2 linked regions of the Drosophila melanogaster genome follow. The protein of the gene in region 1 interacts with the protein of each later gene in a pairwise test. Each region holds a gene or a part of one and is shown on either strand. Other genes may lie near its edges. The genes, in order: dpp and Col4a1.

Evidence for each region.
Region 2: the proteins of dpp (region 1) and Col4a1 interact in binary tests that used the Drosophila melanogaster proteins (3 or more experiments, as listed by UniProt).

The regions. Positions count from the first base shown.
Region 1 is NT_033779.5:2,421,057-2,436,653, forward strand, and holds the start of dpp (decapentaplegic), read left to right. Parts: upstream 1-7,315; 5' UTR 7,316-7,994; intron 7,995-15,597. Other genes in the region: CG9886 (uncharacterized protein), read left to right, coding at 1-973, 1,030-1,359; CG44139 (uncharacterized protein), read left to right, coding at 3,785-3,955. UniProt on the Drosophila melanogaster protein: Required during oogenesis for eggshell patterning and dorsal/ventral patterning of the embryo.
Region 2 is NT_033779.5:5,021,499-5,037,282, forward strand, and holds Col4a1 (collagen type IV alpha 1), read left to right. Parts: upstream 1-8,110; 5' UTR 8,111-8,248; exon of another isoform or gene 8,249-8,312; intron 8,313-8,638; 5' UTR 8,639-8,719; coding exon 8,720-8,739; intron 8,740-9,243; coding exon 9,244-9,292; intron 9,293-9,356; coding exon 9,357-10,304; intron 10,305-10,379; coding exon 10,380-10,876; intron 10,877-11,001; coding exon 11,002-12,452; intron 12,453-12,514; coding exon 12,515-13,483; intron 13,484-13,565; coding exon 13,566-14,710; intron 14,711-14,978; coding exon 14,979-15,239; 3' UTR 15,240-15,781; downstream 15,782-15,784. Other genes in the region: vkg (viking), read right to left, coding at 5,539-5,631. UniProt on the Drosophila melanogaster protein: Collagen type IV is specific for basement membranes.

The sequences.
Region 1 (15,597 bases):
CCAAGACATCAGCGGCAAGACCTGCCACATAGTGGGGTTTGGCAAAGCAGTCCTGGGAATGGCCAACAAAGTGCAACAGGATTTGGGAGCCACCTCGGCCGGTGGAGTCCTCAGTGTACCGGTAAACACCCTGAAGCAGTTCCAACAACCGGTGGCACCTGGTTTGGTTGTCCACGAAGGAGCAGCCAACAATCTGCCGGATGAGAATGCTCTCAAGGCAGCCCGGGAAATCAAGCAGCTGGCCGAAAAGATGACTGCCCAGGACATCCTCTTCGTCTTCATCTCCGGTGGCGGTTCTGCCCTTTTGCCCTTGCCCCGGTCACCTTTGACGCTGGAGGACAAGCGCAGCATAGCGGATAAGCTCATGAAGCGGGGAGCCAGCATACAGGAGATCAATGCTGTCAGGATTGCTTGCTCGGACATAAAGGGCGGTCGCTTGGCCAGGTTGGCCGGCCAGGCGGGACTCCTGGTGACCTTTGTGCTCAGCGACATCATCGGTGATCCCTTGGAGCTGATAGCCTGCGGTCCCACCATACAACCCGAGGCGGCAGCATCTCCATCCGACATCCTTAAAAAGCATCATGTGTGGGAGGAGCTGTCCCCCGAGATTCGGCGGGTCTTTGAGCAGCCGGAGGAGCAGAAGAACACATCGCTGCCCGAGCACAAGGTTTTTGTGGTGGGCAGCAATGTGATAGCCACTTCCACAGCGGCTCATGAGGCCGAAAGGCTGGGCTACATTCCGTGCGTGCTCAGTTGTGCTGTCCAGGGAGATGTGGCTCAAGTGGCTGGCGACTATCAGAGATTGCTGCACGGTATCCAGGAGGCCAAGCAGCATGGCATACTGGATCCTCAACTCAGGGAGAAGTACGCCTTTGGGGAGAGAAGTTATCCGACTTTTCGGAGGGCCCTAGAGGACCACATGAGCAGCAAGAAGCCACTGTTCCTGATCTGTGGAGGAGAGCCAGTCATTAAAGTTTGTGGAAACTACTTCAAATGGTCATCAAATCATTCACGATTCTTTTTCCGTAGGTTTCTGGCCATGGATTGGGCGGCAGAAGCCAGCACTTGGCCCTGCTGATGTCGCAGGCTCTGCACCGCGACGAGGCCATGCGGGACTGCACCTTCCTGAGCGCCGGAACCGACGGCATCGATGGACCCACCGATGCGGCCGGAGCTTTTGGAGACAGCAGCGTGGTGGAATCCTATCTGGGTGATCATACCCTCGATGAACTGGCCGAAACGCTGCGAAACTGCGACAGCTACAACTTTTACAAGAATCTCGCGCAGGGAGAGCACCACGTGCTCACTGGACACACGGGTACCAATGTGATGGATCTGCATTTCCTGGTCGTGCCGTAGTGTAACGCCCTCGCTCGCCGATAAATCCATTTAGTTGTATACTTGCATATACATATATGTACATATGTGGGGCAGTTCGTTAATGGAGCTGCTCTTGAACCGCAGACGGGCAATAGTCGTTTAAATTTGTTTTTACGATTTTCCTCTTTAATTTTGCTCTATGAAATTTTTACGACTTTTTTCATTAACATTTTTAATATCCATTCAAATTCAAATAATTTTGTGATCTTTATGCTCTGAGACGGTCTTCAGTGACAGCATAAAACGGCAATTAGCTTTCGTCTCCGGTTATGAAATCAGCCTGGAATTGTCTTGATTGTAATTATGTGGCAGGCAATAGGCAAACCGAACGACAGATGTGATAAATCAATTTGTATATGCGATCACCACGGAGCATAAATATATCTGAGTAATTTCCATTTAATTTCCATTTCTTTTGTACTGCGTCTCATAAAAATGCGCTGCTAATAAATCATCTTAATTGTTCGAAACGCCAAAGGCAAACAGTAGCCAACGAGCAACTACAACAATAGCCAGCGATAATTGCAATTAAAAATGTAAATTTATTTGCTTCGCTTTATTTTTAGACATACTGAAAAACTAAAACGCGACGCGCGCCCAGTTGCAATTTAGCGATTTTTACTATAGCTAACACTTGAGTGCATATTTCTCTAATTGTGATTGTTTTGCCCGCTTCTATCAACGCTTCTTATTGTTTACTTCGCGTGGAACACCAGCACATACATATAAGTAGTATTATTATTTTGCCGCGCATATGCCACAATTATTAAATAATCACATTCGCCAGTCACTCTCTTGAGCTATTTTTGCTCGATTAGGTTTGTTATTAACTGCATTTCGCAGTGCACGCCTTCAGAGATGACTAAGTTCTGATTCCTTTGTAACTTATACTATGACTAATCTAAGATATCTACCTACTGCGCACAACAGTCAATTGTCTCTGTGATTGTGATTGTTCTAAGATACAATTGATATGTTCTGCTGCACAATGAATGCTCCCACTTTAAATTTGTGGAGTAATTCCAAAAGGATATAAGTGTCTAATAAGTGTGCTAAATCATTTCAATTGTAACAAATTTGTACTTATATATAAGATTTCAAGAGCTCGCTTCTGAGATAAGAGGCTACCAGGAAGTGCCAGCCTCCAATTAAGAGCTCAGCTGCCCACTGGTGGACACGAAGGGCCCACTCGGAGATCCGTGGCTGGCGATTAGAAACGTTTCCGTTTCCGCTTCGATGGCACAGATGTCATCATCATCGGCGGCAGCTATATTTAACATTTTTATTAACCACTGACCACCAGCAACTCCCCTCCCACAGATGTGGAATGTCGCGTCAATTTGTCTGGCCCGGCATGGCAACAATCTCGGCGGGCATCTCATCCTCACCATCACCATGATCATCATCTTCATCATCATCATCATGAGCATCAGCATCGCCATCAGCATCGGAGCAGCAGATACGGCCATCGCCAAGATGGAGTACAAGTGTCGCGTTGATTTATTAATTAAGCATTGGAGCGCGGCAGCTGAGCAACGCGTGGCAGCTGACGACGATGCTAATGAAGTACTCGCTGGAAATTTTAATTAACGATCTCCGATCCGATCGCCATATAGCATAGATTCCTCTTGTGTTGACTTATGACATCACACCCCGAATAGCGCAACACCAGCTGCCAGCGATCTCATTGCCAGACAAACTGACGACGCTTATCACACAATGTACAAAAAGCGCTCCAAACAAGTGGCACTGGGCAACATTGCGTATACGCCGCATGGCCCCAAAGCCAACAATTAAACACTATTCACCGCATGTCGCCTGCGGGCGACATACATAAATTTCATTCGGTCGCCGCTGCTCTTAATTTGTCTAGACAATGGCAAAGTTCACTCCGAACAAATATAATATAGGCAAAGTTCAATTGGCGCTCTTGTCAGCTGCCTTAGTTGGGGGCAAATGGACACAAATTCCAGAAAAGGAACGGAAGGCACATGCATTCTGTTGGACTATAGTCTTGGCTACGCTCATGTGAATCACTTTTCAAACTTTCGGATGGAATCTCTTAATTTGAACCAGATGTGTGGCGCCAACTTGGGACAGATTTTGGGGGCGCAACGAACTTATGTGGCAATGAACTTGACACTGGTTACTCCGAAGACGATTGCCGAATTTTCATTTTCCCTTCCCATCCCTTCATCTAGAACTTCATTTAAAACACAATACTTTTGTTTGAATATAAAATTTAGAAAGGTTATAGCTTAAAAGCTAGTATAAATTTAAATTTTTCACGCTTTGGATAGCAATTAGACGTACTTAACATTTTAGATACGCTACCGTCTAAATAAAAAATGTGGACTGAGATTGACTCTTCAAGACTATTGCTTGCCAGAGATCCTTGACAAAGATGCGCTGGATGTCGTTTCTGCTCCTAGGGATCCCCATCACGATGCTGATGGCCGAACGCACCCCATATGTGTGCGATGGCAAGGACGACCGGGTCTGTGACGAGTATCGCTGCATGTGCCGGAGAAAGACGTCGACAGAACCGTATCCTAGAACAGAGTATGAATTTTAAAACAGAAATAATTAAAGGACTTGTCGCTCGAGCTCTTCCTTCGGCGGTGTCTCCTTTGAAAATTCAAATAAATTGGAGGGTTCTGGAGGCCTGACCAGCCTCAAATTTAGATCGTCAGCCAGATACAGGAATGGCTTTTCCAGGTTAAGTTTTGACTTCATCCGCCCATATGTTACCTGCAGGAACGCCGTGCGATCATTCATAGGCTCACTCTTGTTGCCGCAGATGATCACCGGGATTTTGTTGCAGACGCGCACCAGAGCGCGGTACCAAATATACTAGAAATTTGTAATCATATAATCATACCATAGTAATACTTTATAGGTCAGAAATGCTTTCAATCCCTGTTTAAGTACTCCATTGAGTAGAAGTTATAGAAATTGATTTCTCTTTCAAGCAAGTCTTTAAAAATGCATCTAACAATGCCATCAATTTTAAAAGGTTTCCACAAAGCTCTTAGCTCCTCACAAACCTTTTCCGATCTTGCAACACTCGAGTACCGATGCTCATCGCAACAATTATGTCTAACCGATGTTGATGTTGGCATTAATAATTTCGGGCTGCTACTTGCCATTTATCAAAAGCACTGATCTTCCCATATGCCGAATGGGCAGCTTAATGTCAATCGGCTCTTTTCCAAGCTCTTGGCTTCTTTGCCCCCGCGCTCTGGGCCATTAATGCATTACAAATAGGTGCGGCAGACCGCAACAGCAACCTGGGCAAAGGGACTTGGCCACAGACGCATCGGTGCCGTTGACCAACGTGACTGAGATTGAGATTGAGGACTGCAGTTCGCTCTGGCTACCTGTGGAAAAGTGGAAAGGCAGAGAACTGAAATCCAGCCAGCAGACGACCTCAAGTGTAAGGCAGCGCAATCGAGTTGCTGCAGCAGCAGCAGCAACATGCAACATCCATAGTCCAGAAGCAGTTCAAGTTTGCGCCAAGGAATTCCTTGCCGCTGAAATAATTAAGCATTGCAACATTGTTTATTGTTGCTGTTGTTGCTCCTGCTGCTGCTGCTGCTGCTGGGTGTTGCAGGCTCGTTTAACAAGGCAGCCAAGTTCTCAACAAGTGCCTCCTCCTGTTCTACAAGTTTTTGCCCCTCCACTCCGATTTTTTTCATTTTTTGCGCCTGTTGCTGCTGCTGCTGGTGCCACTCTAAGGAATTTCCATTTTATTTACATTTAGAATGTGCCGAACGGACTCGTCGCATGTAAAGCGGGCCAAATCGAAAGCTATTAGACCTATTAGCATATCGGGCTGGAACATGGCAAATTTAGTGGCAACATTGTTGCCTCCGCGATAAACGCACTAAAAATCAAGTCTTCACCTTTATTACCGCATCGAAGTGCCAGCGTTATGGCAATTCGAAAAAGAATAGGAAGCGATCGTTACTTATAGAAAATATAGATAAATAAATGTGCAAAACGCCAATCGATTGGCGTACATTTCATGGCGTTTACCTGATTGTTGTGGCCAGCCCACAGTTAACTTAATTGCCACTTCCCAAGCGCTTTATTTACGGAAATACTGACGGCTAAGCGACTATTTTACACGCAGAGAAATGAAGTGCAATTTAGCTAATCAGGTAATAGGCAGGCATTTTTACAAAGTGCGTACTTGTTTCCCATAATCTTTCGTTATGTTGTAAGGATGTTATTCCTTACTTTACAACATTTTCATTACATAATGGAATTGTAATTGATTTGAATATCTATATTTCTCTGGGTGCATCGACTGTGTGAAAGTGTTGTCAATGCTGCCGCTTGGCCATAGCCTACAATCGCGATTGGCTGATCGAGTTGGAAAGGAAAATAGCAAGAAATCATAATAACAACAACTAAAATTTTCCATAACCTTAAAAAATAGAAAAAAAATGAGGCAGCTATTTATAAAATGCGCAATCTGCGAGATGCGTGCGGCAATCTGTCCGTCGGTCCGCCGATGCCGCCAGCTGTGTGCCAAGATGCCGCTGGCCCCCCGAAGTCCCCTCTGTGGAGCCCCCGTTGGATCCCCCCTTGGAGCCCCCCGCCGCACTGCGCTGTGTTGTCTGCGTTTATTGATTTATTAGAAAATTCCAATGAACAAGTTTTAATACACGACACACGGCGAACGATGAAGTCGATGTTGTCAGCGTGCTTGTTGTGCTTTTTCTGCTCCTTGGCTGCTTGTTTTGTTGCACTTGTGTTCCTGAGGCAAGCACAATATACGGGAAGAAAGGCTGTGGGAAAGAGACAGAACAGCCGCTGGTAAAAGTAACAAGTGCAATATTTTAATTACATCAGCGGCAAGAACAACAACCAGATCAGCGGCATCAATTGAGTTTGCTGCATGGATTTTGGGCAGCTAGCGTTGCCAGATGGGCACACGAGGCGTATGATTGATATGGTGAGTAAGGCTTGGGGAATCATAGTATCAAGGCCTAAATAACAAATAAAACATTTTGAAGGACAAACAAAATTTTTAAAAATATTAAATAGATCGATGAGTCAAACGGAGCTCATGTGTGTGTTATCTGCAGAGCCTGACTTTTGTGCTTCGATTTCATTAAACTCTCACTTTGGCATATCTCAAAACGATCTAGCTCCTATAACTCGAACAAGCCGAACAATCCGGCAACGCCGATCGACTCGAAAGATTGTCTGCTCGGGACTCTAAGCATTTTGCAATCAATTTAGATTTGCATTAGCAGCGCTGCAGTCTCGAGAAGTCCGCGACTTAGTCCGAGATTTAGAGCCAAAAATAAACCGAACCAGTTGCGGCAGCGCCGAAAAGTCAAATGTGTAACAGCTCTGTGGCTTTGGCTCGAAGAGAGACTTGAAGAAAGTCAAGATATCGCAGCTGAGACAGAAGACAGAAGACTGAACACTAAAGACTGAGGACCGAAGACTCTGTGTTGACTGTAGACTGTGGACCGGAGACTGTGGACTGAAGACGGCGACTGAGAGAGCTGAAATATTGTAATTGTGAGTCTGGCTTGTTTGTTATTGTTGCCTTAGCGGTTGCTTGTTGTTTTTTTGGCTTGATTAATAATTAATCGCACTCGCACACACACACACACACACACATACTGCCTGTTTTAATTACTCAACTTAAATGGCGCTTTGAGCGACTTAAGCAACTTGCCATCGTGGTCGGCAGTGTGTGTGCGATTGACTCTCACTACTACGAGCTCAAAACTAACTAACTAGCTTGTGTTGCTGTTGCTGCTTGTGTTGCTGTTGCTGCTGTGCTGTGCTTTGCTTTGATGTTGCTGTTGCTGCTGCTCGGCTCTGCTTCTGCTTTTGCTTTTGCTGCTCCGTCTCCGGATCGCTTTTGCCTGCCTGCCTGTTTGCCTTGCCTCGGCCGCTTTGGACGCTCATTCAGTTTTTTGCGCTCAACGCTCGTTGTACGGAACCGAAAAACGCGTTCGTTCGTCCACAGAGTGTCGCCAAATCGAGGCGAAAGATCGCTGGTTACAACCGAATATACAGCCTCTAATCACTTTTTTTCTGCTCTGTAATCGTTCGCGGTTTCTGCGGCCATAAAATAAAGTAAATCCGAGTTAAACGCTGATAGTCGCGCCTGAAGAACCACAGAAAAAACAGAAAATATCTCCCGTCGTTTCTCGTTCTCGTTTCCGCGATCGCTCGTCAGCCAGCCAAAGCCTCTCCGATTTTTGATACCGATTCGGTATCAGATAATATATTCGTAACCATCGCCATTCTTGCGAGTGTGCCAGTGTGAGTGAGTGATGTGTCTGTGTGCCAAATCCAAATCGAAAATAGCCAAAGTCTGAGCTTGGCCACCATCGTCAGCAGCAAACATGTGAAGTGCCAGTGATTTCCATAAGCCAAAATCGAAGTCGAAGTCGAATCGAATCGAATCGAAGCCACAGCGAGATAGATAGGTCGAAAGTATTTGAGTGGATATCCGAGTCGAACCAGTGTATAATGTATGCGACGTTCGCGAACTGCCAGAATTGGTTGTTGTTGCAGTTGCAGCCAAAGGATTTGTGGATTTTGGAGCGTAACTGAGCGGCGTGCAGCAGGTGCACCAGGTAAGCCAAGCCGAGAGTGTTAGCAAATAATGCGCATACGCCATGGTGGCTGCGTGTCCAATTCGAGATCAATCGAATCAATTGAACGGCTGTTAAACAGCTGACTGGGAAAACTGGAACTGGGTGCAATGCGTGAGTCACATACACATATACATATGAATACAATGCATATAGACTGGCTGATTACTTATGTATATAAATGTGAAAGAAATAAATACATGTAACTCAGAAGTCAGTGGATTATTTCTGAAACAATAGCAATTGCAGTATATTATGTTCATTTTCTTCAGAGACTTTAGCACTGTTTAGATTTCTAATGATAAACTTTGCAACCATTTCACTTTTATGCATTTACATTTATGAAGACACCTAAAAAATCTATATTACTATGAGGAAATCTAGTTTGCTTTAATAAGTTTGCCAATAGATAAGTCCCTTCCGCCAACTTGATATCACTGCATAAAGTTTCGACAGATTTACGCCAGTATCCGGGGAAAAAGTGAAATTCTATCTCTGGACCCCGGACATTATCAGCAGAGACATGTGGAGATCGGGTGTCACTTGCATATTCATGGGGGCCAAGTGATGAACTGAATTAACGGCATTCCACACCAGTCACAATTAGCGGCTGACACTGACATTGGCCATGGTAAAAAACCCTTTGACCATATGCCATATACTCGTTAATTTATGACGCCATTTGGCTAATTGAATAATTATATGTGACTGGCTGGGCGTGGCTGGGCAGGGCTTGCTTCGCTTAGCTTTGCTTTGGTTTGGTTTGATCGATCACGATTGCATAAGCCATCCCACATGGGATCGGAATCAGCATCGAAATCTGAATCTAAATCTTAATCGGTATCTATATCGATTTATTCGATTTGCCTTGCTAATGCGACTGGGGGCACTAAATCAGTGTCAAAGTTCACCCCACTAGGCTCAATTAGTTTATTAACTGCGATTTGCATTTGCATTCGCAGGGCGCAGCAAGCCCGTTGGTTAGGTGGGAAATTGATAGCTTCGAAATGTGCAAAGGTACAGAAATAAAGCCCGATAACAAAACTAAGCAACCGCAGCAGCAGCAGCAGCATCAGCTACATAGAAGCAACACATCAGCAAGACAGAGCAGCAATATAATGAGATATAGCTACACAGATATAGCAACAGCTGACGATGAGACCATGAAGGTCTACCACTTTCGGAAATTCGACGAAAATGAAATAAAAATCGTGAGCACGCAATGAAGCAGCCAAGTTGAAGTTGGCTTCCACTTCCATGCCATCCCATCACCATCTCCATCTCAATCTTCATCTTGGCCTGGCAAATCACGTTGCTGATAACAACAACTGAGCAATGCGGCAATAATTTGCTGCCCATGCCCGCTTCGCCCCGCTCTCGGCCAAGTTAAGTGGCTACTGGTCATCAGCAGGCAGCAACAACTGGCTTAGGCCAACATTTTTATCAAAAGTGGTGGCATTAGCAACCGCATCCCCCCCGTTGGCCGCCGAAAGAAACTGGTCAGTCTCTGGAGGCTTGAGACTCCCAATAGTTTCACTTATTTTACACGCATTTCTTAACGATAAATAAATTCCACAAGCAGATGCGGCCAGCAACAGCGGCAACAACAACTTGGCCCGGTCAGCAACAACTTTTGCTATCACGTTTCCATGCAAACAACACACAGCCACAAAAATATTTCCATTGGTATTCGCTTGTACTTGAATTGCCCCACGAAAGATTGTGGGGGGGGGGAGGGTGTTCGAACAAGAGGCTGCAGCAGGTGGCAACTGCAACTGCAACTAATGCTTCAGGTGCTTTTGGCCCGGACTTTGCACCTCAGTCTACCGTTTGGGCCATTCCGATGCCAGATTTCCGCCTGATGTGGCGCCTCAAGGCAGCCGAGAACGATATCCGATATCGCTGGCTGCTGCTCGATGGGTTTATGGTTTATGGGATACACCTTGACTGGAAAACCAATTGGATTGCACAAGAAGTGTGATTTGATAGGTGCAAACTTAAATTATAATTATGTGTTATTATATCATAATCATAGCAAGAAACGCTAGCTAACAATTCCAATATGTATCAATATTCTGACTATGTCAACTATCTAATAATATTAGTTTACATTTTTATTTAAAAGTCGAGCGAGCCCAGCTCAATCACCTGCTAAACTTCTATGCTAAACGAAGATGAATGAACTTAGCTTCAAGGTGGCCAAACGAAACGACACGATTTGGCAACGATCTTCTGTCTTCTGTCTGTCAAATCGAGAACTGATCAATTTTGCTTTTTATTTTATAAATTCTCTCTCGAAAATATATTGTATAAGGTCATCTTCTTCGAGAACCCGACCATACTGGTTTTTTTTTCGGTCCAGAAGATGCCAAGCGCCGTAGTTTCACTCGGCGTTCAACGCGGCGTATGCCTAATATGCGAACTTGAGTTACTTTTCCAATTCACTTTTGCCCCGGCCTTTCTCGCCGCCCCGGCGATTCGCCCAAATAACGCCATCGGTATCGGTATCAATTTCAATTTCGCAGATATACATTTATTGCATATGATTTATCATGTCTGACACTTGGGCCAGACCACTTGTCAAATGGGAAATAGCCACGACAACATGCTGTGATTTTAGATAAATTCATAACTCAGCCCAACTTGTCTTGCCTTCAAAGTTCAAATCACTTGGCGCTCTCACATGGGCCACATATATATATACACACACACATACGCATATTTCATGCTAATTATTTATTTATGAGTTATTTTTATTCGATAAGCCTCAAATGGAGGGACACCATTTACATTTACAGTTATGCGTCGAACATACATATTTTCCGTTTGTTTTTTCAGTTTGAATTTAATTTTCCCACTTATTCCACTGGCCATTTCAAAGGCAGCAAGTCAGCTGTTGCCACTGGCGAATTCGTTTTAACGAACTTGAAATCGCTTTTCGAGCTTCTGGGGAAACGATAATAAACAGCCACTTATTTTCATATATGTATTTCTGTTTGGCTGTATTTTGTAGTCTACTGGCAATGGGACACTAATCAGTGGACTTCGTTACAAAGCTTAGTTTGAAGTACTATTGAATAGCAGGAGCCTTGTGGTTCCTTCAAACATATGTTTTGGATTTTGATAAGTAGGACAGCAGGAAATTCGCAAAGCGGATTGATTAGGGGTCGTTGTTTTCTCGGGGTTTTACATTTGCAAAGTAACAAAATGGATAACAAATTGTATATCAATTCATTCATACTTTAGCTGTGGCAAATATATATATAGTATGCAAGCTTAACTTAGGCTTTAGATTTCGGTTTTCAAGATCTTCCCATTTTCAAAAGACTTCACGCCCATTTGACGACAGAACACGTTCCTTGGGTCTGTTTTTATCCACTGTTTGTTTGTTTAATTACAACGTTGTGGTGATCATGATCATCGGTGGAAGAGAGATAGTTATGGACGACGGCTTCACAGTTAGCTGGATACGGCAGTTGAAACCACTTTCGGTTGGATTCGAAAAGCGTAAACTAGATTCGAAATCCAGATCTTTGCAAGCATTCAATAACAAGATTTACATGTCTTAGTTGCCAACCACAAAAATTCAAGGAAACCTCAGCAGCAACAAAAATAATTGCAACGCAAACAAACCATAAAGTGCATATTTTAATAGCTGCATTGAAGTTTCAGTTTTACAACTCCCAGTGGGTCAGTGAGAATAAATATATATATTTCTAGTTATAATACTTATCGTAATGGGGGATTTTCCAGTTAGTCAGAGTGGCCGTAAAGTCAACATCCTGCGGTGCATTCACATTTTTGTCTCCGACTCCAAAGTGCTCCATTTTCATTGATGCAAATCTCTTATCAGGCCAAGAAAGTGCCAGTGGCACAAACACACTCATTCTGGAACAGGGTGATTAAGGATTTAGTACACCATTATATGATATATAAACCGTTTTCTAAGCAATTGCAACTTTATAGGCTGTGTGATGTGTGCTGAATAATTTACATACATACGTCTTGTGTTTAATCTTTCTAGGTAAAGTAAAGTAAACTCTCTATATACGCCTATATATATTTATATAAATATATATTAAAGATATTTCGCCATTGTGGACACCCTGTTTTTCGGGGTCTGAGTGGGACACGCGTTTATTCCAGCTCCGCTCTGCTTCTGTGGCTATCACTTCAGTTGACTTTACTTTTAAGGCGGCGGTAGCCTCGTCGTCTCCGCCGGTCCGCCCTGCCCCCTCTTCCCTTCTACCCACCGCCACCCAGTTACCTCGCCGCCCCTGATAAGCGCCCACTGTCCCCCTTCACTGAATCCACCCCCCCCCCCCCATCCATTGGCATCGCGGCAAAAGGTCTTCTTTGTTGTGAGTTGGAAAAGAGGAAAAAATCATAATAACAACGAGCAGAAGAGGATCGCCAAGAAGGGGCTGGAAAAGCAGCACGAGGTTTGCTGAGGCGGCAACTGCGCTTGGTTGTAGCAATTTACAGCAACAGCAACAGTTGCACCGTGAGAAAATGTTGTGTAAAAAGAACACTTGAAGCAAGAAGAACGGTCATCTGTCATGAGTAAATATCAAAAGCATTACTCCTAAAATTTTAAGCTAAGGTCAAACTCAATAAGACTTTAGCTTTTATAGTTTTGGCAAATTTGTCACTGTGTACCGACTATGCATATAATAAAAGCAACAAATATACTAACAACAGCAACAATAGCAACAAAAATGACAACAAAAGCAAAAACAACGAGCGTCATCGACGACAACAACGAACGACGACAACGACGACCACTCCACCAACTGGCATGGCAGTGAGACGTTGATTGCCACGGAATGCCGTCAAACAGGTTAAAAATGTAGGTAGAAATTCAATTAAAAATTGGTTATTTATTTATTTTAGCATGCACAGAGATCGACTCCGCACACGTTCATATATATATAGCAATAGCCACCGTGAGCTCCCCTTTCTCCGGCAATTGCCGCCCGTCGAATACTCGAGTTTATTTAATTAAGCTTTATTTGTGGCGCCTAAACTGCCGGCTGTCAATCAGGCGGCGTCAAGCGAGCTCGATTTGAAAGTGAAAACCCCGAAAAGCCCAGCAGGTGGTAAGATATCTGCAGTGGACTCCCAGTCACTCAGCCACTCAGGTGCAACAGATGCAGCTCCACAAAGACTCAGCTGCAACTCGTTCCGAAGAAATTTGCAATGAAAACTAATGCGGCCGAGAATTTGCATGCAAATCAATCATATGAGGGCGAATTCGGTGGGGTAGTCTCCGATTTGATACCCTGTAATTTACATCAAATAGCAATTAATTTGTATATATACCAAACCACGAATCTAACGATTGCTATCAAACATATTTCTAGATCTATAGGTAATGTAATCTTAGCTCCTTCGAATCTCCTAAGTGGGGCAAGCCGATCTTGATCCGAATCGAACCCATTAGTTTGATCTGGTTGCTATACACCAGCATCCAGTTAAAACCGATAGCATTTTCTTTTATTAATGCAAACCGCAAAAAGTTAATTTTAGCTGGGCTATTTTTAAATTAGCTGCTTTTGCGGCCCACTAACGATCGATCGAGTCATGTGCGATTTGCCCATATACGTAAGCACAGATATAGTTACGACCCCAAAGCCCGTAACTGGTTGCAGATATTACGAGTGCGCGATCTGAGTTCCCCAAACGGAGAGGGACGGATAGAGAGAAAGGGATAGAGACGGCGACAGTGGGGCGAGAGGGGCGAGAATCATCTCAAATTTTGCCTGATGGATCGCTTCAATTTGTGACTGTGACGGCCATGATTAAGATACTAATGCGATCGATTTGGAGACCGCTTCTGCCCAGCTGGAAGCTGCCTGCCTGCCACTATCCAACTTTTCTGCCCTCTGACTCTGAGTGATCTTTGCCCAAAATCAAAATTCACACTCAGATTCACTTGAATCGTTTCGATGTCGGTGTAAATTAGCCAAAAGAACTTCGCTTCCAGGAAGTCCACCTACCAGGTGATTCCTAATCTCGATCGCTCTCCGATCCGTTTGATATATGATGGAAAAGTTTCGCCTACGGCCGAAAGTGGAAAAATCTGCGGTTGCTTGGCTGGGGATTTTTCGCCCAAATAAATGAAAAACCATTTTAGCCCGCGAAATTTTTATCCAATAAAATTTCGCCAAGTATGTGAAATAGTACATTTCAAAGAGTATGCATGACTTGCACAATTTTGGGAACTGTTCTCACAGACTATGAGAATGGTGAAATGAATCCCAGGAATCATAGTTTTGTACAATTTATTTGGTCGAGACTTGTATGATTCACATATATGTATAAGTGTTTAAATAACATTAAATGTAATTTAAATGGAAAAGTAGTATAAATAGGAAAATTCTTCGGTATATAAAATTACTGATATCTTGTAGATCCAAGTCTCATCAAACAAAATAAACTATGATGTCGAACTGATGGTCATTAGGATTTCTTCAATCAGTTCAATGGTACTCCACCCTATAAATTGTGCCTATATATCATCAAATCTGCGCAATAGTTGGCCCAAGGCTCTCCGCGGGTAAATGAACTTTAGGAACTGCCATGACCATCGAGTTGGGCCTACAAAACGATTCGCCTTGGAAATTTCATGCAACTTTCAGCGTGTAAATAATTAAACCATAAAAGTCAATTGAAATTGAGAATGTTCCAATCGATCCAATCGGAACGCTTTGAGGGAGCCACAGCGAGAAAATAGTACTTATTTATGGCATTTATGGGCCGGGCCATAAAAACTTATGGATAGCCAAATTCACGGATAAATTAAAATAATTGAAATACTTTGAAAACTTAATTGCGATAGGCGAGGCGAGCTTGTTGATGCTAACGATCAAACATAAATTTCAGTGGGCCAAGAGCAGGCCCAGATACAGATACATGTGGAGAGGGAAGAGCAGATACTTAGATATAGACGCAAGTGTATATTTTACCGGCCGGCAAGGCGCGCATATGTATGCAATATGTTTTTTCTCTCTTTTTGCCTTTTCTCGCTTTATTTTTTTCAGCTGGCCTCGAAATCACTCGCCTCATTTCCATGAACGCATTTTCATTGCGCGGCCACAAATCATAAATGTTTCGTTCTCCCAGCCACAAAATATTTAGACAGATTTTGTTGCCAAAAGCCGTTTACAGGTGGCTGCGGAGCTGCGCGGATTTGAGTTGCTTCAGCCGGGATATTTCCTTGGAGAAGCCACTATGCAACATCATCATCCCAGCTGGGCGGCGTGGTCAAGGTTAAGCGGCTACTCCAACTATGCATAAATGTATCTGAATCCGATGGATGGTATCTACACGCGGAAAAACACAAGCAAACAAACAATTGCTACTTTGAGCATCAATCAAAAGCACTCGCCTTTTGTTTAGGAAGCCTTGCCATCTGTTCATTTTAAATACACTTATGGTGTATGTAGTAAATTAAATACCTTTTTTCTCCCTGTGTACATCTGTATCTGCTGGCCGGCGCTGCAGGACATCATCATCATCGGCAGGCGTGCGCTTCTTTTAACGATTTCAACAAAAATATTTCGCTTTCTGCGCTGCTCATTAA
Region 2 (15,784 bases), 2.6 Mb from region 1:
ATCTGCATCTGAGCAGCCAAGTTTATTGGCCCGAGACGTTCTGTATATACACATATATATCTGCATATATCTGCAGTCTATGGTCCTGGGTATCTGATGACAATCCTCGGGTGCTAACTTTTCGCCTTTCCGCCGAACTGTAAACGATACTACCTTAAACTCTGGCCACCAATTCGACGGATTGCAATTATTCAGGGAATGCAAAGCGCAGCGAAATGACTTGGAAAGGGATGGATACACTTGGAGGAAAGAGAAGGAGTCACTTGGAGGAAAGAGAAGGAGTCACTTGGAGGAAAGAGATGGAGGGCTAAGGAAAGAGAGAGGGAGAGGCGTCTGGTAATCTGGGTCTCAAAGTTGGTGGCCTGCTACGCCCGGATGTGGCATACAAAAAAAAAAAAAAACAAAAAACAAGCATAATTATTATAATTATCAGAATGTCACATATAAATCACAGCTGATAAGACTCTGGACACAGCTTCAAGCCGGGAGGGAGAGCGGAATTAATTAATACATTTAAATTTAGCATTAAATTGTATTTCATGCACATGTGTATTGTTTCTCGAGTTTCGTGTTTCAGGCTGCGGACAAAGGGGTTATCTGTTGCAAACGGCAAGACATCAATGTGTGTTCTTTGTTGCCAAGGAGGATACCTAAGACTTTACTTTGCTGGATATAGAATGCTTAGCAATTGCTATCTTATAGATACACTTCTCAAGCTCGAGATCAAGATTCAGCTGCATCCAAAGACGAGGATCCTTTTGTGCGTCACAGTTGACCCAATTTTCTCTGTCAGACAACACGCGCCATCAATCAACCGCATTTTCATTTTCACATTTATATGCCCCATGAAATGGAGTGGGAACTTTTTGCACCATCAACAATAGCAACAACAAATCTGTTGTTAAATGTGCATCATAAACGTTTGGAACACTGCACACATGCAACAATGAAAGGCATTCAAATGAAGGTATTAGACGCGCAAGTACTAAGTAAAATGTAAAATATAAGTTATTCTTTTATTGGGTAAACATACATAAGTACATGCTATAGTCACAAAACTGACTTCAAATAGTTGGCTGACATCCTACAAATGCATTTTATTGACCACTCAACCTAGTTGCACATTACAAAAGTGCCAGATTCATGCCAGATTCAGTTGGCATAAAAACGCCCGATTTTGGGGCACAGCTACAGGGTAGCAGTAAAAAAAAAAAAAAACGAATATGGGCCAACATATGAGCAGCGTGTGATTGACATGAAAAGGCAACCCCCGCACTTACTCACACCAACATTCATGTGGAGCATAGCATAGTAATGGATGCACATCTGGACGGGCGCACTTGCTGCATGACATCATTTTGCTCCGGCTTGACATTAAGTCAACATGTGGAGAAGATGCAAAAGAATCTGCACTGCCACTGGCACATGGAGAACACCCACGCACTCCGTAACCGTGCGTCTGGAGCAAAACCCAGTTGGATCTGCTTGAGTGACCGGTTACGGCATCGTGGCGCATAATTGTTTGGACACAAGCCTGACAGATGATAACTAATTGCCGTGCACTCAAATTAACATTGAAATTGATGGACAGCGGGCTGTCACAACTTAATATTCGCAACGATCGTCAATAAGGTGGCGATAAGGAAGCGCCAAGTGATTGAATCGCCTATCAAAGTATGTACATACATTCGTCAGATTGGGAAACTATATTGTTACCTTTTGAAAATGCACTTAAAATCATAAGTCACATCATGCCAGCAACCATTATCGTTCGAATTTTGCATCAAAGGAGCTGCCAGTTAGATTTCACCCAGTTATAAATCGCTTGAAATCATGAAGCCATTGGTTAACCATCTCAATGGCCTGCAAATAATTCAGACAATCAAAGCACTAGAAAGTTAACCAAGCAAATTAAGCAGAATTTATTTTTAGCCATGACAGTAGATGTCTGCCGTCTGAAATGGAATCTCAGCAATGGAATCGCATCATACATTGTACACATATGCATATGTACATGCCATATAGTGTCTAAATATATGTATATATGTATAGAATTTCAAATGCTCAGATGAATATCAATTTCATGAGCCCGTACGGACTGATAAGGCGGCAAAAAAAAAAGGAGAAGAGCGAGCTGCAGTTATGAGACAGATGACTGATAACCCAATTTCACTAGCTTCGCTCATAAATAATCGTTTCAATTCACGAAATTCATTACAAAGGCGGCTACTAAGTGGCCCCTGCCCATATCACTCATACGACATGTTGTCCATATCGCACACACACACACACACACACATACACGTACATATAGAGAGCGAGACTCCGCATAATTTCCGCATTCAGTTGCAGATAAATAAATAATTGAGTCAAATTGAAATGCAACTCGCCAAACAATTCAGCTCAAGCACGCAAATAAACTTCCACAAGGAGTCCAACAATGAGATGATGATCATTGTTGTCCGAGCTCCGAGCTGCTGCCCCCGCTCTTCGTTTTCTTGGGCGGTCTTCAGTTGGATCGAAATCCCCTCCACCAGCTGGACACCCATCACCAGTTGGCCCCGCTCAGTCTGGCCGGCGGTGGTCAGTGATTTATGCCAGCAGCATCGGGTCACTTTGGACCAGGATCGGGAATAAACAAAACCCAAGGAGAACGAAACTGAAGACTGAAAGGGAAGGTGCACGGAAAGAAATGGTTGAGTGGCAATAATCAAACCCGCTAGATCATAATTTTATAATTTGATAGAAATTACTCCTCTTCTTAAATAACCAATTCAATATAATACAATATTTTTACAAGCTTTTTATAAGAAAATTTCGGAATTCATGGTAAATTTCGAAGGTTTTAGATTATGTATTTATTTGATATTGTTTTGTATGTAGTTAAGATTTTTCTAAGTGCACCATCGAAGTTTCTAAGACTTTGGACGGCAGCAGCAGCCGCCGCAGAAGCAACAAAACAACAAACAGCCAAGAACTTTCAATTCCAATTTGAAATGGTGCAGAACGTCAAAAGATTGCCGACCCCCTCACCCCCTGAAGTCGCCATACCCCGGCAACCCTTCTTCATTTCAATTCCAGTGATTCTCCAAGAGAGCCCCTCACCGATCACTTGAGCTGCTGCTAATTGTCGGAATCGAACTGCGCACACACACACAAGCGCACTGGCGAAAGAGCACACTTATTCACAGGCAATAACGGCATTTCCATATATGTATTTATAGCTGGGCAAGTGCAGGAGAAAAGAGAAAGGGTGCATGGGGTAGTGGTGCAGTGGTAAAGTGGGGAGAGCGACTGATAAAGACCATTTATCAAAATTCATTCATTGAAAGCCTCAGCTGCATCTGCAATCGATGAGTTCATCTCTCTCTGTCTCTTCTGCTCTTCGATTGAAGCGGCTCTTAAGCGATCGGCTCTCTTTTCGCGGAACGGAAAAGGAAATCATTTGTTCGGCTAATGAAGCGCCAAACTGGTTGCAAAACCCATTGCGAGAACAGTTTTAGAGCCATTGCCTGAGAGCTGTTAACTGTTTAATAAGTATATTCAAATGATGCTGGAATAAATACCCTTAAAAACATTAAGTATGAATATATCTTACTCATAGCAGATAATTCCCTTTATAAATTTCTTTATAGATTGTAAATAATGGCATACATACAATGTGTGTTTCTAATCAAAACTAATTCCAGCGAAAAATGTGAATCCCCTTCTATTCAGATTAGCTTAATGCACCCAGGATATAATTAATTATATCGTTTTCAAATACTGTTGCAAGTGAAACAACTTTTTTTGTAAGCCTTCGCTTATCGTGAGGGTAACACGAGCAACGGTAGCTAAGCGAAGTCAAGTTTTTCATCGTTTTGCGGTTAGTCCTCCATTGGCAACCCACAAGACCTGGAGACCTGGCAGCTCTCACTCGGAATCCGGGAGTTAGGGTCCCAAGCCCATGGCATTGACCACGTAACCGAGTGCGAAAAGAGCTGTGGATCGGATTACCAAAGTCGTCAGACGAGCTGCACACTTATGATGGCAAACACGTGAGCGATGGGGCCAGATTTCCAGATCCCAACGAATTGAGTGCACGAATTGTGCATTGAGTTAACTGCTCAACTGGTATGAAAACTAAACTCTGATCTCTGGTAAAGGCAATAAAGTCAAGCCAAGCCGATAGCCTCTGCGACTGCTGGCGACACTTGTTTCAATTCTAAAGTGTATTTATTCTAAATTCGAGTCTAGAAAGCCATGTCGCAATCAGCGGAACATGCTATCAATGGCGTCAATGCCGCCAACATAGCAATAGGTCTAATTAAATGTGTGTAGATCAGTCGCAGCCTGATAAGACCAGCCGAATGCCATCAAAAAGTAGGTGCCGCCGGCATGTGCTCCATTTTTCATCCAGCATTACGAAATCTCTGTGATCCCTAGCCATTTAAATATTAATACTCAATTTAATTTGGTACATACACAAGGTACACTGAATTGGGCAACTCGGTGTTAAAAAGTAGTGCATAGTTTTTGGGGCAACATTGAGTATTGCGTTTGCCTCGCACTTTTGTGTCAAATCATTTTTGTGTTTGCTTAAAAAATCATTCATAAATAAATGAAATATTCGCAACCTCAATGGTTAATGTGTCTTATTTTGAATAATAATCTATTCAATTGGGGTAATAACTAAGAACCTGCGCATTCTTTGTTTTTCATACTCATTCCCGTTTCATTTTACAAATGATTATATGCCAATTAAGCGACTAATCTGGCGGTTATTAAATATAATTCTAATTGCCAGCCGGAAACGTTCAATGGCGAACCACAATTGGTATGCCAAAAAAGCAATGTCCTCCAAATTGAAAGATTAGGGGGGTTATCAATGGGCGTTATCGCCAACCTCTTCACCTACAAAATTATGTTGCCAAAATTATTTAATGACATAATCGATCCCAAGCTGGACTTGGACTTCATTGAACCCCCGGAATCGGGAACGAGCTGAAAGGAATTATCTGTCGAAGCCAAAGAGTTGCAACTACGCGATGTTTTCATGCCGGAAGTGTGAATAAATCAGAGAGTGCAGTGCTGCAGAATAACAATAACAATAGCAGCGGTGATTAAGAGTCGAGCTCCGAGCTGACCCAATTTTACATAGTTGTTTATGGTTGATACTATGTAAATGCGAAATCAATGACTACGGATACAGTTTGGAGAGCATTGGTGGACATGATAATTTTCTTTCAAAGTTAATTAAGAATATTATTGTTATAAGCTTCAAGTAACTTAAAAATGCTGCGTTAATGAAATAGGCATATACAGTTTGACAAGCACTTTGGTTAGTATTTAGCAATCTCATAAAATTCAAACGGTTATGGTCTGAGAAGCACTTTAAATAGTAAGAGCCTTATTTTAAATATCATTTCCTAAGTTGTTTTAAGACATAAAAAAAAGTTGAAAAAAGTTATTGCACTACAATCTATACATTTCTCAATCCAAGTCTTTAAAGAGCTGTCAATTTTTGGATATTATACTAAGCATTTCGATTGCACTTACCTTTCCATCCGCCAAGGTAACGGAAACCAGGCTGCCCAACAGATAAACGACGCCCAGAAGACCCGAGAGATGCCTTAGATCTCTGGGTAACATCCTCGCTGGGTCCTTTGGTCCTATCCGCAACGTATTTATGTCGCACTCTATCTAATTGCCTCTGTCTCTCCCCGCTTAAAACACACACGAAACTGCCAACGAAATAAGCATAAAATTAGAAATTGAAGAATTTTCGATTCTTATAAAATGCCCTCAAATAAAACCGACATTAGCAAATCAAGTATTAAAGAGTTGACGATCGGAAAAGTGTGGGAAACTAACAGAAAACGCTGATTTGCTGCTGCTGCGATCGTCGGGCACAGCACTCTCCCCACATGTGGAGATCGTCTAGCGTTCGAAGTATTACTAAACACGAGTCCCGCTAAAGAAATTCGAATTCTTCGCCCGCACACTCGGCACGCTCGGCTCCACTCGTAAAAGTTCGGCCGTTCGCGATCGGCTCTCGGCCCACCAATACTATCGCAAGTGGAAGTTGCAGCAGTGTGAGTGTAGTAGGCACAGGCCAGGGACAGGCCCGGATGGATGTTTTGGATGGAGATTTGGATGGAGGTTTGGATGTAGATGTGACTCCGGGCTCTGGTTATGGTTCGGAATTTAGCACTTTGACGCCTTGAAACGAGGAAATGAGGAGCAGAGCCCTCTAACCAAATCAAAGCGGCCCGATTCTAAGCATACAAATTCTATTTCCCATTTTGGTACCGTATCCCTGAAGGGGTATGATCAATCAGATTCTCACTTTGTTCTTTTTATTAGGCACGTCTCTTGGGAAAATACAAATTATTAAATAATTTATTAATTAATGTTACTATTACTAACTATTACTAACAGGCACATACCATTTATACATAATAACCATCCGCATATAACTTAAATGATAGTTCCAACTAGCGACACACGATATTTCTTGCGGGGTAAAAGCTATTCTAATACTCAATCCCAGCTATCCTAGTGATTTCAATACAATTAGATGCTAGTTTGTTTGTCGCGCTTCTCGTGATTAGGTTAAGGCTTTTTCATTTAGTACTTACATATATGGCATATGTGAGGCTGATAAGACGGATATGGCTGAGTATTTCCTGTTAGAACGAACTACTGATCAACTGAAAACCGAACATGAGTTTTAAGCTCCAATAAGTCCGACGCAGAAAAGCCAAATGGGAACCTTTCGAAATTCGAGCCTGATTTTGGGTTTCGGGGCCACAGTGTTTTGAAATAAGTCTTGATAGGGCGGCTATAATCAAGGCCTCGTTCTAGTTGGGAAAGCTCTTTTGTTCTAGGGTACGTGCAAGTCGGATATGGCCCAGTGGCCTGAATATATGTCTTCTCAGGAAACTGCTGTGATTAGGATATTAAATGATGTCGCACTTCGGCAACTTAAAATCTTATTAATTTATGTTTAGAGCGGTATTAGTAAGTATTATGTCGTACTTACTATCAAAATGAATGGATCTCAATAATTATTATTAATTAAATAACAATAATTATTTTAAGTATGTATAAAACTTGGCACTTAAAATGAAATTTCATTTAAGATACATTTAGTTTTAATAAAGCGTAGATAGATACAAAAAAAATCGAAAAAAGACCATTCTTTGAAACAATAATTGCATCGACATACTAAAATCAATCAAACTAAAATATTTTGTTTTAGAAAAGAATGGAATGATTTGAATAATCAGTTATATATAGCAAATAAAAATATACCAAGTAAAGCTTAAAAAGAGATTTAATCTTCAAAACCTTTGTCAAATTAATTATATCAGTTTTGAAAGCTAGAGAATATTTTTAAAACTTAGAAAAGGACTATAATCCTATTAAAAGTAAAGTATATGCCAATAAAATGTTTACACATGTTTTTGTTATCCTTTAAGTTTTAGATATTTTTATCATACTTATTGTAAGTACACACAAAATTTTGATGAGGTTATAATTAGAACATTGGCCTGATAGCGAAGCCTTCGGAATTTCCCTTGCCCGAGCACCGAAAAAAGTCCAAAAAGCAGGAGCCGCAGGGGCGGACCAAAACGGAAGCCATGTGCCCGATCTCAGGGCGGGGGCTATCAGCTAATTTTGAGATGGGAGCTGGTAGCTGCGATCTGGAAGCTGGGATCTGGGAGCCGGAGAGCTGGTTGAAGGTGCTCCCGGGGAGGTGCTCCGGCGGAACGAAGCTGATGTGCTATTGAGCAACTTAAGTCGCATGTGGCATATCAACAGCAGCGACGGACTTATCGCCAAGTTTCATTCATTCCGCAGCGACTATGTTAACTTGTGGGATTAGTGTTGCTACATACGACGACCCGTCGCCCATCCGTTCTATATGCCATGGTGCCACCACCCACCTCCCACCAGCCACCTCGCAGCCATCGCAACCGATCCGATGCCCATCCAATCCCCGTCGAATCACACGGATAGTGTACATGAGCCGTAGACCCGATCGTCGAGATCGTGCCAAGCCGAACGATCGACGAGTGAAGATCGGGGCATCGGCGTTTGGCTTTTGGATCGCTCGAACTTATACTATAATTAGTCGTGTTCCGTCTCCCCGAGTAAGTAGTAGTCTGGTCTCGGTCCGGAGCTGATCTGGCCAGCTGGTTTTAGTCTTTAGTCAGCGCTGTGGAGTGGTGATCGGTTCGGATCGGATCGCTCGGTTGTGAATGTGTGTTTCCATTAGGGTCCCGTCCCGTCCCGTCCAACCGTCCCTTAAATAGGATTTGATTCCTGTAAGGAACTGAGCTTTTACAACAACAAAATAATATAAACATAAAATATCTTAATTAAATCAGGAAGAACGCGTACTATTAATTGAAAATATCCAGCAAGTCGTTGTGCGAGTCTCGTACCAGTTCCAGTGCCTCTCAAACTGTCGCGTGTATATGCTTGGAAATGAAATGAAACGAAATACAAGAATTAAATCGTTGAAAAAAAATAAGCCAGCTCGATTTTCCCACAAATATTAAATAAAATAATATTCCTCTAAGAATATTTCCAATTTATTTTGCAACTGTTGCGAAATTAAAGTGCCCAATTCTCTGGCTCATCTTTCCAGGCCCAGCGACGGCAACATATAAACTTCAAATTCGACGAGGACAGAGCAAATAATTGTGCAGGCTTAAGTGCATAGGGCATCATGTTGCCCTTCTGGAAGCGGTAAGAAAAATGACAAAAGTTAGAAAAATAATACAAATGGTTGCAAAAATTTAAGTTAATCAAAGAAAGCAATTGTTAATTATTAAAAACCATGACAATAATACTTACTTAACAACTAATAATACTCTATTTAAAAATTTAAAATTTTTTTGAAATTTTTAATGATTAAAACCCAGTTATGGCCTAAAAAAGTATTGCCAATTTTTTTCTTTCTAATCCATTCAGAAAGAGCAAATATTAGTTTTTAAATTAATATTTTAGATATCAGCAATACAAAAATACATAATTTAAAACATCACATTTGTTCAATTTTTTTTTAATTTTTCGAAGCGCGATCTCTTAAAAACTTGTAAGCTCTCTCTTAAGCGCCTTTAGCAAACTCTCTTGAATTGACGGCTTAAGAGAGAGCTGCCAATCGAAGAGAGCTATGTCCAATTAAATAGCTAGACTGATAAGACGAAGCACAGTTCCTAACCCTCCTGATCTTCGTCGACTTCTTTGCAGGCTGCTATACGCCGCTGTGATCGCGGGAGCGTTAGTCGGTGCCGACGCTGTAAGATAACCGTAGCCCATGCCATCCATCTGGACATTGAATAATATACTCCTTTTCCCCGCAGCAATTTTGGAAGACGGCTGGTACGGCCGGTTCGATTCAGGACTCCGTGAAACACTACAATCGAAATGAACCCAAGTTCCCAATCGACGACAGTTACGACATTGTAGACTCTGCCGGCGTGGCGCGCGGCGATCTGCCGCCCAAGAATTGTACGGCCGGATATGCGGGCTGTGTGCCCAAGTGCATAGCGGAGAAGGGCAACCGTGGTCTGCCGGGCCCTCTTGGACCCACGGGATTGAAGGGCGAAATGGGTTTCCCTGGCATGGAGGGACCATCTGGTGACAAGGGTCAGAAGGGTGATCCCGGCCCATACGGACAGCGTGGTGATAAGGGTGAGCGCGGATCGCCTGGTCTTCATGGTCAGGCTGGTGTACCCGGAGTCCAGGGACCCGCCGGCAATCCCGGAGCCCCTGGTATCAACGGTAAAGACGGTTGCGACGGACAGGATGGTATTCCTGGCTTGGAGGGTCTATCCGGAATGCCCGGACCTCGCGGATATGCCGGCCAGCTTGGCAGCAAGGGCGAGAAGGGTGAACCGGCAAAGGAGAACGGTGATTACGCGAAGGGCGAGAAGGGTGAGCCCGGTTGGAGGGGGACTGCCGGTTTGGCTGGACCACAAGGATTTCCTGGAGAAAAGGGCGAGCGCGGCGACAGTGGACCTTACGGAGCCAAAGGACCCCGGGGTGAGCACGGTCTGAAGGGAGAGAAGGGTGCCTCCTGCTACGGACCCATGAAGCCTGGTGCACCGGGTATCAAGGGCGAGAAGGGTGAGCCCGCGTCCTCGTTTCCCGTCAAACCGACCCACACGGTGATGGGACCTCGCGGCGATATGGGACAGAAGGGAGAGCCTGGCCTAGTTGGCCGCAAGGGTGAGCCCGGACCTGAAGGCGACACTGGACTCGATGGACAGAAGGGCGAGAAGGGTCTGCCCGGCGGCCCAGGCGATCGCGTAAGTCGAGTTCATACTTAAGGCTCCAAATCGAAGTGGAAGTTGAAACCTCTATAATGAAATATATACGTACAGGGTCGCCAAGGTAACTTTGGACCCCCAGGATCTACAGGACAAAAGGGAGATCGTGGCGAGCCGGGCCTTAATGGTCTGCCCGGTAATCCCGGACAGAAGGGTGAGCCAGGACGTGCTGGAGCGACAGGTAAGCCTGGTCTGCTCGGTCCTCCGGGACCGCCAGGCGGTGGCCGTGGAACACCAGGACCCCCGGGACCCAAAGGACCCCGCGGCTATGTTGGCGCACCTGGACCCCAGGGATTAAACGGAGTTGATGGACTACCGGGTCCTCAGGGATACAATGGACAAAAGGGAGGTGCTGGTCTGCCCGGTCGCCCCGGCAACGAGGGACCTCCTGGCAAAAAGGGAGAAAAGGGAACCGCAGGACTTAATGGACCAAAGGGATCCATCGGACCCATTGGACACCCAGGACCACCGGGACCAGAGGGACAGAAGGGTGACGCCGGTTTGCCCGGTTATGGCATTCAAGGATCTAAGGGAGATGCTGGCATACCTGGGTAAGTGCAATGATTCATTTAATAGTCCTAGCACTCAGTCGAGTCCCACTGTGGAGCCGAGTCCTGTTCTTACTTTCCTTCATTAAAGATCTTATTTAATTCGAATTAATTTTCGTTCGTCCTAGTTATCCCGGACTAAAGGGTAGCAAGGGAGAGCGCGGCTTCAAGGGCAATGCTGGTGCTCCCGGTGACTCCAAGCTGGGTCGTCCTGGAACTCCCGGTGCCGCTGGTGCTCCTGGACAAAAGGGAGACGCTGGTCGTCCCGGCACTCCTGGCCAAAAGGGAGACATGGGTATCAAGGGTGACGTCGGCGGCAAATGCTCATCGTGCAGGGCCGGACCAAAGGGTGATAAGGGAACGAGCGGACTGCCTGGAATTCCCGGAAAGGATGGCGCACGAGGACCGCCTGGAGAGCGCGGATATCCCGGAGAGCGTGGACACGATGGAATCAACGGACAAACTGGACCGCCTGGTGAGAAGGGAGAGGACGGTCGCACTGGTCTTCCCGGAGCAACTGGAGAGCCTGGCAAACCTGCTCTGTGCGATTTGAGTTTGATTGAGCCATTGAAGGGTGACAAGGGTTACCCTGGTGCGCCAGGTGCAAAGGGCGTGCAAGGATTCAAGGGAGCAGAAGGTCTGCCTGGTATCCCTGGACCCAAAGGAGAATTCGGTTTCAAGGGTGAGAAGGGTTTGAGCGGAGCACCCGGCAACGACGGAACACCCGGACGCGCTGGGCGGGACGGATACCCCGGAATTCCCGGTCAATCCATCAAGGGCGAGCCAGGCTTCCATGGAAGGGACGGAGCAAAGGGCGACAAGGGATCATTTGGCCGAAGCGGCGAGAAGGGAGAGCCCGGTAGCTGTGCGCTTGACGAAATTAAGATGCCCGCCAAGGGTAACAAGGGTGAGCCCGGCCAAACCGGCATGCCAGGACCTCCGGGAGAAGACGGCAGCCCGGGAGAGAGGGGCTATACCGGATTGAAGGGCAACACTGGACCACAGGGACCTCCTGGCGTTGAAGGACCCCGCGGCTTGAATGGACCTCGCGGTGAAAAGGGCAACCAGGGCGCTGTCGGAGTACCTGGTAATCCTGGCAAGGACGGCCTTCGCGGCATTCCCGGACGCAATGGACAGCCTGGACCGAGGGGAGAGCCTGGTATTTCGAGACCCGGCCCTATGGGCCCACCCGGTCTCAATGGTCTGCAAGGTGAGAAGGGCGACCGTGGTCCAACCGGACCCATTGGTTTTCCCGGTGCCGATGGCAGTGTGGGATATCCTGGAGATAGAGGCGATGCCGGTCTGCCCGGAGTATCTGGACGTCCCGGAATTGTTGGTGAGAAGGGAGACGTGGGCCCGATCGGACCCGCTGGTGTTGCCGGACCTCCTGGTGTTCCTGGTATTGATGGTGTGCGTGGACGTGATGGCGCCAAGGGTGAGCCCGGCAGTCCCGGATTGGTCGGCATGCCCGGTAACAAAGGTGACCGTGGTGCTCCTGGAAATGACGGACCCAAGGGCTTTGCTGGCGTTACTGGTGCTCCCGGAAAGCGCGGACCTGCTGGTATTCCCGGAGTTTCCGGTAAGTTTTTGCAGTATCCCATTCGAACATTTGATGTGAACCATTTGGTTTCATTTGTTCAGGTGCCAAGGGTGACAAGGGCGCTACTGGCTTGACTGGCAACGATGGACCTGTGGGAGGCCGCGGTCCTCCAGGTGCTCCTGGACTGATGGGCATTAAGGGTGACCAAGGATTGGCAGGCGCCCCTGGACAACAAGGACTGGACGGTATGCCTGGCGAAAAGGGTAACCAAGGATTCCCCGGTCTGGATGGACCTCCTGGTTTGCCTGGAGATGCCTCCGAGAAAGGACAAAAGGGTGAACCCGGTCCATCCGGACTCCGCGGCGATACAGGTCCGGCCGGAACGCCCGGTTGGCCAGGAGAGAAGGGTTTGCCCGGTCTGGCTGTTCACGGTCGTGCTGGTCCGCCAGGCGAGAAGGGTGACCAGGGACGCAGTGGAATCGATGGACGAGATGGAATTAACGGCGAGAAGGGTGAACAAGGTCTGCAGGGCGTTTGGGGCCAGCCTGGCGAGAAGGGATCTGTCGGCGCACCTGGTATTCCTGGTGCTCCCGGAATGGATGGTTTGCCCGGCGCTGCTGGTGCTCCTGGTGCTGTTGGCTATCCTGGTGATCGCGGTGACAAGGGAGAGCCTGGTCTATCTGGTCTGCCCGGACTCAAGGGTGAGACTGGACCCGTTGGACTGCAGGGCTTCACCGGTGCTCCTGGCCCTAAGGGTGAGCGCGGTATTCGTGGTCAGCCCGGTCTTCCGGCCACCGTTCCCGACATCCGTGGTGATAAGGGATCCCAGGGCGAGCGCGGCTACACTGGCGAGAAGGGCGAGCAAGGCGAACGAGGCTTGACTGGTCCTGCTGGCGTCGCTGGAGCAAAGGGAGATCGCGGATTGCAGGGACCACCAGGTGCAAGCGGATTGAACGGCATTCCCGGAGCCAAGGGAGACATTGGTCCAAGAGGCGAGATCGGTTATCCAGGAGTTACCATTAAGGGCGAGAAGGGTCTGCCCGGTCGCCCAGGCAGAAACGGACGTCAAGGTGAGTTTGTGATCCCATATTTGTATTTACACAATTGGTTCATATAACCATGTCACCAATCAACGTTATTTAACCCATTCAGGTCTTATTGGAGCACCCGGCTTAATTGGAGAACGTGGTCTGCCTGGCTTGGCCGGAGAGCCCGGCCTCGTGGGCCTGCCTGGACCCATTGGACCAGCTGGCAGCAAGGGAGAGCGTGGTCTCGCCGGCAGTCCCGGACAACCAGGACAGGATGGCTTCCCCGGCGCACCTGGATTGAAGGGAGATACTGGACCGCAGGGCTTTAAGGGCGAACGTGGTCTGAATGGCTTCGAGGGACAAAAGGGAGACAAGGGTGACCGAGGACTCCAAGGACCGTCTGGACTGCCCGGCTTGGTTGGACAGAAGGGAGATACCGGCTACCCTGGCTTAAATGGAAACGATGGACCTGTCGGAGCTCCTGGCGAGCGCGGCTTCACCGGGCCCAAGGGACGCGATGGACGCGACGGAACACCAGGTCTGCCTGGACAGAAGGGTGAACCAGGAATGCTGCCACCACCAGGACCCAAGGGCGAACCTGGTCAGCCGGGACGCAATGGACCTAAGGGAGAGCCCGGACGTCCGGGAGAGCGTGGCTTGATTGGCATCCAGGGTGAGCGTGGCGAAAAGGGTGAGCGCGGCCTGATCGGTGAGACTGGTAACGTGGGACGACCCGGACCCAAGGGAGATCGCGGAGAGCCAGGCGAGAGGGGATATGAGGGCGCCATTGGTTTGATCGGCCAGAAGGGTGAGCCCGGTGCTCCAGCCCCCGCTGCTCTGGACTATCTCACCGGTATCCTGATTACGCGACACAGTCAATCGGAAACGGTGCCCGCTTGCTCGGCTGGACACACGGAACTGTGGACGGGTTACTCCCTGTTGTACGTCGATGGCAATGACTATGCCCACAACCAGGACCTTGGATCCCCCGGATCCTGTGTGCCACGCTTCTCAACGCTGCCCGTACTGTCGTGTGGTCAGAATAACGTCTGCAACTACGCCTCCAGAAATGACAAGACCTTCTGGCTGACAACCAACGCCGCCATTCCGATGATGCCCGTTGAAAACATCGAGATCCGCCAGTACATCTCACGTTGCGTCGTTTGTGAGGCGCCGGCTAATGTGATCGCCGTGCACAGTCAAACGATAGAGGTGCCCGACTGTCCGAATGGCTGGGAGGGTCTCTGGATTGGCTACAGTTTCCTCATGGTGAGTATCGGAACACTTATAACGTTAGATTATAGAAGAATGATGAGAGTTTTCAAAATCCACAAGGGATGCGTTTCCGAAGTTTCCCTAGCTTTCCAGCAGATGGCGCACGTTCCAACGACACTCTTGCGCCATCTGTTGGATACTGCGTAGCGAAAGATTTGATACAATAGTTTTAATTTTCAACCTTTATTCCTAACTACTTGTGGGATTTTAAATAGTTCTTTTATAATGATGCTAATATTAACCCAACCATTTCCTATAATAGCACACTGCCGTGGGCAACGGTGGCGGTGGACAGGCGCTGCAATCGCCTGGCTCCTGTTTGGAGGACTTCCGTGCAACGCCCTTCATCGAGTGCAACGGCGCCAAGGGCACGTGCCACTTCTATGAGACGATGACAAGCTTCTGGATGTACAACCTGGAGTCCTCACAGCCGTTCGAGAGGCCACAGCAGCAGACGATCAAGGCCGGCGAGCGGCAGTCGCATGTGTCCAGGTGCCAGGTGTGCATGAAGAACTCCTCGTAGGACCTCCAATCCCAACACAGACACACCCACAGCACAGAGCATAAGTTTAATCTAAATGTAAAGCCTTAAAATTACCAACGAATCGTGTGCACACCCACACGATCACAACACAAACACAAACAAACAAACCAACACACACACACACATACATACACCGACGAACCAACACTGCTACAAATTCCTTAATCTAACCAAAAAGAAAAAAAAACGGATCCACAAGTCGAAGTGCTAATTACCGACCGACCTGGACCACAATGCCATTTTTTATCTGCCAATTAATGTTCTAAACAAATGTAAACTGCTTCTAAGTTACGTTACGTATGTTAAGTAAATGAAACAAATAAATAAACTAGCCTCGGTCGTATGTCCAAAAGTATAAAATAAACTATGTGCCAGCATGTTCCATTTATTTTTGAAACCGATTAAATGCGAAACAATGCAACAAAACGCGGTATCGAACGAATATCGAACGAATCGAATCCTCAACTGCTATACAAAACTTGTCGCATATCGTTTTAAAATAAACTAAAATTTATAAATACAAA